Ovis aries: one gene and its partner. The protein of the gene in region 1 interacts with the protein of each later gene in a pairwise test. Links are inferred from orthologs where the notes say so. Each region holds a gene or a part of one and is shown on either strand. Other genes may lie near its edges.

Region 1 (3,824 bases):
AAAGCTCAAAATTGGGAAGGATCCTGATATTCAACTTATCTAATTTCTTACTCTAAGCTGAAATCTCCATTCCAAGAAATATCCATGCCTAAAAATAAAAATATCTTCCAAGCTTCAGTACAACAGTGATAATTTAACAGTTAACATTTACTGAATGCCTACTATACGTCAGGTACTTGACTATCAGAATCATCTTATTTAATGTCATCACAATAACTCTGAAATAGATACTAATAATATCTGTCTTTAGGTAAGGAACAGGTGGTAGGTGATAGAACCAGGATATCAACCAAAACAAGCTGACTCCGGACCCCATATTCACCTACTGTGCAAATCGCTTCCCCTTGAAGACTTTGAGGGGCAAGTCTTTCAAAGGCCAGCTGTTAACAACAGTTCTTCATGTTAGAGAGACCACCCTGATCATTACTCAAAATCTATATAGTTATCACTTCCTCATACAGTTCCTCCACAGCAATGACATGTCATTTCTCATGATGGTCTTTTTCTTACTGTGTAACAAGTAATTAAAAATCAGAAAATCAGATACCCAAATTATATTAATATAATTTTTAGAACTAGGATGGGCTTTAGATTATTACTTCAGCTAGTCCCATTGTTTTACAGATGAGTAAACAAGCCTAGAGAATTTTAAAAATTTGTCCACAAGTAATTAGCTGGCAATACACTGCCTGAAAGAAGTCCATGAACATTGCCTCACCTCCCCCAGAGTATAAGCCCCAAAGAGTAAAGCTCCTTGCAAAGAAGTAATATGCTAAAAGCAGAGAAGGAAAAATCAGATTTTGTGAATAACTGTGTCATAACAAAGTATTTAGTTCATAAGGGATGTAATTCCACTACTGGTGAAATTAAAAGAAACTGATTTTTTTAAATACTACCTTTTTTTCTCAGTTATAAAAGTGTACCCTTACACTGCGCATCTAAATTAGGAAAAAAAACAATTTGACAAAAAAGCCTAAGAAAATTTAATACTTACCCAATTATCATGTGCTTTTTTCTCGTGAGAAATAACCTGAAAAAGAAAAGTCATTAAAATACTACTAATAACTATTTTTTTCTGTAAAAAACATTCACACCTACCACTATGATTTAATGTAAAACTCACAAACTCAGAAATAACTCAATCATCTCTAAAATGTCAGCAAGTATTATTTTAAAGCAAATTTTCATATACATATGATCTACTCTATTATAGTTCTAAAAGAAAAACAATGTAAAGACAACTGAAATTTTTGTCTGGTACATTTCTGTTTTACACAATAATCAATTACAATAGGAGGTACCAATTAAGAGACAACTAGCCAGACTGGTTATATATATATAGGACCCTAATGCTGCCATATGTTTATTTCTTTATGCAACTCAAATTCCCAAATCAGCAGTAGTTCACATAGCAACTTTAAACAATGTCTCTTGGCCCAGAATCTTTGCTCCCTAGAAATGTTCCGCCACACGTGCAAAACCTCAAGAGACTAACTACATTCCTGCATCAAAACAGGTATGAATTCAAACAAATCACCACCATTTTAAGTTATACACACACACGTACCTGTCCTTTATAAGAATGAACAGTTCTCTCCAACTCTTCCTCTAGATCTTTGGCTCGCTTTCTATAAAGAATAAGCAATTATTCTACTTAACATAAACTAAGAAATGACAAAACACACTATGTCTACTGAAAATATTAATTAATTTAATACCTAGACTGCTTTGTTTCATGGAACGCTAGAACTCCACATGTTCATCACCTTTGGTGGTGCTGATTTAGTTGCAAGGTTCTAAAGCATATTTTTTTCCTGATATAATTTAAACATTAGGTAAGCTTTAGGAATACTACTACTTGAGTTTACCTAAGATTTAGATGGAATACTGGCTCATTTTCATTTTTAAGAAGCATACTGGGAGATGTATTCAGATGTCTATAGTCTTAATAGAACTCTAGGAAATTAAAGATCTGTGAGAAAGAAAATGCTATTACCTTTATAAGACTAAAAAGACTTAAAGTTCATAAAACTATAAAAAGACCTTATAAGACTAAAAACTTCTTTTGGATAAAATTCAAGCTTGCTCTTCCTAATGCAAAATGAAGTATCACAACTATTTGGAGTACTGCTGAATCTTATCACTTATTTTCTCTAGGTTTTTATTATTTCTATTATTTTAGGATCGACTATTTCAGTAAGGATTGAGCTAAGGTAAAAACTAGATTTATGGTCTTATAAACACTTCTTCATAACTTTAATTAAGGCTTATTCTTCTTTTTGCAGCATACTTCTCAAATTGATTAATATTATATACATTCTTCCCCATGTGAACCAAAGAGGAAAGACCTTAAAATTAGTCACATTCATAAAGTTCTTAACTTTAACATAATATAGGATTGCCCATATTCAAATCCAACTAATCTAAGAGATTTTGAATTACATAGAGTAAAAGAAAAACTTTTTTTTTCCTTTTTATATTTTCTGTATAATCACATAAGAGCAAGACATCTAAAGGAAAAATAATTAAATTAAGGGCATTTTTTTTTAATTGCTCTATTATTTTTTTCTGCTTTTGGGCTTTTGTATGGATGCCCTTCCTACCTCAAAAAGAAAGGGGTGAAATATATTCATACCTATAGGTCTCCAGCTCTTCAGCTGCATGGTTGATCTTTTCATCAGCTTTGGAAAGTTTCTCCTCTTTCTCTAATCGGTAATTTTCCTCCATTGTCAATTTCCTTAAAACAAAAAGTGTTTTATTTCTGTTATTGTATGTCATAAAATAATCAAAGGTATATTTTTAATTATATCACAACTGGTGATTTATTCTACTGCTTCCCATAAAGCAACCTGCAAATATCAATAAAGACATCACATGTAAGAAAAAAACAAATGTACCTGAGTGTGGAATTTAATATTATAGACTCAAATTGTAAAGCACCTTATCCAATACAGTACTACTAATACAGAAGCTTTAAGAGTTCACCATTATCATTTATATTTTTATCACTGAAGAAAAAATGTTTCAAAATCAAATAACTGTCTTAAAATAAACTGATGAAATGCAACCCAATCATAAATTAAGAACTTTGAATAACCACATAGTGAAAGTGAAAGTTGCTCAGTCGTGTCCAACTCTGTGACCCCATGGACTATACAGTTCGTGGAATTCTCTAGGCCAAAATACTGGAGTGGGTAGCCTTTCCCTTCTCCAGGGGATCTTCCCAACCCAGGGATCAAACCCAAGTCTCCCACATTGCAGGTGGATTCTTTACCAGCTGAGCCACAAGGGGAAGCCTAAATAATCACATAAGCTGAATGCAAAACATTTTTAAGCTTTTTTATTTGCCACTCAATGGAGTGACCAACATAATTTATTACCTGTGAAGTATCATCTCATTTTCTTGATATAGTTCAGTCATTACTTTAAGTTTCTGCTGAAGTTTTTGAGTTTCACTTTCGAACTGTGTATTTTCTGACTGTAAAGACGCTTGTTCAGTCTGGAGATTTTTAATACACTCTACAGAAAAATTTTTTAAATCACAATTAAGGGAGCAAATATTTTGAGATATACATTAATATTTTATAAAAATAAAAATTACAAAAACTAATTATTAATAAACTAAATTCTTTCCAACAGAAAATGGATATTTTGTTCACTTTAACATGTTAAGAACTATATAAATTATTATAACTTTTTTTATTATTTAAGGATTTCCTAAAAAAAAATTCTAAAACCTTGAGTACTCTTTAATTCTAGCATCTAATTTTCAGTCTAGTAGACAAAGTCACTAAAATTCTCAAAGTTTTGGTGATGAGGATTTT
Region 2 (3,824 bases), on another chromosome or scaffold:
TACTTACTTCATATGCTTATTTCATGAAATAAATGAACTAATATAGCCTCAAGCGCACATGGTAAAAGCATTCCATACATTTGAACTATTATTTTTGTTGTGGTTGGGAAACCCTGATTATATACTGTTTTATTCATTCTAAACTGGACTGCTGCTTTAAGGGAGTCTCAGACACACTGGCCAGGCTTTCTCCGTAAGTAGTGGACTCCCTGCCTTCCGGGCAGCATTCCCAAACACCTCTCCATTGTGATGTCAATAACCTGGGATTTCTGGATTGCAGGCAAATGCCTTTTCTTCAGTAGCAGACTGCTGTCACATGCACTGTTCCAGGGCAGTGCACTTTTTCTTGCAAAATAGGAAATCCAGTACTATGATCTGATCTCAGTCATGGGAGATACCTGAAGCTGTGGGCACGGTTCCCCGTTGAGGATAGAAAAGGTGAATTTAACCAGCAGTTTCAAAGAAAGTTTTAAGTACCTGATACATAAAGTGCCCTACACTGTTTAAATTATGATAGACTCAACATTATGTTTCGTTTTCCCCTCACCATCTGTCAAATTAGTTACCTCCAAGCAAAACACCATCTTGGTGGTTTAACCTTAGATTGGAAATTCAACCAGCTGGACTAGTTTATAGGACAAATGAGAGCATTACACCAAAATATCACAAATTTTCATTTTAGAAGCCTTTGCATTTGTTAAAGACGTCAACTCAGTTGCCCCTCTGGCTATTTCCCTCAGCTGCCTCTTCCTGGCACAGACAGAGGTGAGGGAAGCCAGGAGGGGAAATGCTGTGTTAGATCAGGTCACACAGCAGACAGGCCCGCCGTGAGCCTGTGTTCCCTGCCCAGAGCTTGAGGAAGGTCTCTTGTGTGGATCTGGAGGAAAATCGATCCCATCCCGTTTCTCCCTTCTGAGAACCAGGCCTGCGGCCAAACAAAGCCTCCTGGCCTGGACTTCAGCCAACCCACCTACCTGGTGCAAGTACTGGATGGCTTGCTCGTGGTTCCTCCTCAGCTGCTCGATCTGAGCAATTTCCTGGTAAAGACTGACCAGATCTGACGTATTGTCACCCTTATTGGCAATAACATTGTCAACTGCCTTTTCAAAGTATACCAGCGCAAGGTTTAACCTGCAGTTGGCCAAGGAGGCTCTGGAAGAAAAGGGACAAGGGTGGAAAGTCAGAGAGAGGTGACTTGCTCTGCAGACACAGAAGGAACTTTCTAAGAACCAAACAATTTGGCCTTCACAGGCTGATCATCTGTGTGGGTGGCTCAAAGTCCAGCCTTGCCGTAAGCACACTCCTATTAACCAGCATTTTACCCACCAGATTTCACTGACTACCATTTCATCAAACCCATTAATATATCACATTAGGCTAATTTTATAAAAAAGCATATGGAAAAAATGGTGTCCAGCAGTTCATAAGATGGGATAATTTACCCCATAACAAAGACTTTCTAAAATCAAAATAAAATTTTATTACATCTGATTCCTTCTCTTTTAGGCTAAAGCAGGGGTTTTCCTTTGTTTTGTTTGATCTAGTTTAATTTATTCTTCCTCAGTTAAAAATAAGACAGGATAGGGAAAACAATGTACGTATTTCCCCACCAAAAGAGGGATGATTAAATAAATCATGGCACATCACACAATAAAATACTTCAGACATGAAAAACTTTAAATGTGCTAAGTTGAAAAAAGTTAGAAAACTGTACTTAAAAATATGATCCTGACGTGCATACACGTAAAGCACTTAGAACAGTGTCGAGAATGTAGTTATACTTTTGTAAACATTCCAACACTTAGAAGAGTGCAGGCACAAAACAGGTCAACTGTGTGGAGTGGATGAATGAAATGTACAAAGTTATTCTGAAAGAGGAACAAGGCTATCTTTCACATAAGCACAAAAATCTAAGTCACTGCCCCGTGTGTCAGCAGGAGACAGTCACTGGACTCTCACGTATGGGCCTGAGGACTTAAGAATTGTTTCTGACTCAACTCTGGACATGCCAACATCTCCCCGCCATTTCCCATTTGACAACTAGATTCATAGCTGTTTAGAGGAGGCAAGTATGACTCATGTAGTTCACTTACTTTACCATTCCATCCTCTACCCTACCATGCCAAGTGCTTACAGTTCTGGAAATGGATTGTTTTCAAGGATGTGAAGATATTTGAAAAATCTAGGCAACAGTAAACTTTTTATTATTCTTTTTTTTCCTCTGATACTCTGATGGGTCCATTCTCATATCTAAATATTCTTATTCTCAGAGGATTCCTAACTGTAAAATAGTTAAAAGTCTCATTCTGGCTTGAACAAATTCCATGAACTTTGTTTCCTTATGGAATACAACTTTCCTTAAAAAATGCATGTGCTATGAATAACTCAAGGACCTTCAATATATTGTTCTCATTAAGTGTTTCTTCTTTATCATTTAAGTTGTCATATTTAATGACAAACTGAAAGTGAAAGTCACTCAGTTGTGTCCGACTCTTTGTGACCCCATGAACTATACAGTCCATGGAATTCTCCAGGCCAGAATATTGGAGTGGGTAGCCATTCCCTTCTCCAGGGGATCTTCCCAACCCAGGGACTGAACCCAGGTCTCTTGCATTGCAGGCAGACTCTTTACCAGCTGAGCCACAAGGGAAGCCCAAAAATACTGGAGTGGGTAGCCTATCCCTTCTCCAGGGGAGCTTCCCAACCCAGAAATCCCAGAAATCGAACCAGGGTCTCCTGCATTGCAGATGGATTCTTTACCAACTGAACTATGAGGGAAGACCACTTAATGACAAAAGTAGGTGGCAATTCAGAAAAAAAAAAAAAGTAATTTTAGAGTAAGTAGGTGAGGCAGCACAAGGAAGGGCTAAGAGTCTGTACGTTCAGACCAAGTTCCAATCCAATACTTAAAGCTTATCTCCTTGGATGGTTTCTTTATCTTCAGCTCAGTCTCTCTGCCCTCTTTCTAATGAGATAAGTAATTGCACCAGCTATCTCAGGGGTGGCTATGAGGATTAAATGGGAAAGAGCACAGAAAACTTAGAACATGGTATATGCATTTGGGAAACATGAGCCTCTTTTACTATTATTTGAGTCTGGTTCTTTTGCTCTAAATATTTTTCTCCCCTTATATACCAAGTACAGGACAATCATGTAATTGCGAGCTTTAGTCATAAAAATGAATATCCATTGGAAGGACTGATGCTGAAGCTAAAGCTCCATTACTTTGGCTGCCTAATGTGAAGATCTGACTCACTGGAAAAGACCCTGATGCTGGGAAAGACTGAAGGCAGGAGGAGAAGGGGATGACAGAGGATGAGACGGTTGGATGGCATCCCCGATTTGATGGACATGAATTTGAGCAAACTCCAGGAGATAGTGAAGGAGAGAAGCCTGGTGTGTTGCAGTCCATGGGGTTGCAAAGAGTCGGACAAGGCTTAGTGACTGCACAAAAACAAAGTCATAAAAATCCAAGCTTCTCTAAGCCCAGATCTCACCTGCCCAAAGCGATTGTTAAATCTTTCTCTGAGACCTGTAATCCACAAGTGCCTCCCTTATACAATTCTCTCAGCTCCTTCATGTTTCTCTCTGACTTCTGCAGGTTGAAATATGCCTCTCTGCCAGTGAAACAGTCAAGGAAAGTGCCAGGTACACAAACGCCCCCACTGACCAGGGCAGAGTTGGTGAGCAAACAAAAGGGGCCCTTGGGAAAATGAAACAGTATCTGGGAACACACACTTCACTCTATTTTTCATCTGTACGTGTTGTCAAGAAGGGAGGATTCTTCAGAAAAGGAACGGGGCCCTGGGTGTCTTGTGGTGTTG

The links.
Region 2: the proteins of MIA2 (region 1) and TTC23L interact in binary tests that used the Homo sapiens proteins (3 or more experiments, as listed by UniProt). The two-hybrid records come from large-scale screens. The link is inferred for Ovis aries from reciprocal best matches to the Homo sapiens genes MIA2 and TTC23L.

Annotation. Positions count from the first base shown.
Region 1 is NC_056071.1:46,989,727-46,993,550, reverse strand, and holds part of MIA2 (melanoma inhibitory activity protein 2), read right to left. Parts: intron 3,520-3,824; coding exon 3,381-3,519; intron 2,738-3,380; coding exon 2,636-2,737; intron 1,629-2,635; coding exon 1,568-1,628; intron 1,031-1,567; coding exon 995-1,030; intron 1-994. UniProt on the Homo sapiens protein: Plays a role in the transport of cargos that are too large to fit into COPII-coated vesicles and require specific mechanisms to be incorporated into membrane-bound carriers and exported from the endoplasmic reticulum.
Region 2 is NC_056069.1:39,454,125-39,457,948, forward strand, and holds part of TTC23L (tetratricopeptide repeat protein 23-like), read right to left. Parts: intron 3,624-3,824; coding exon 3,498-3,623; intron 1,153-3,497; coding exon 975-1,152; intron 1-974.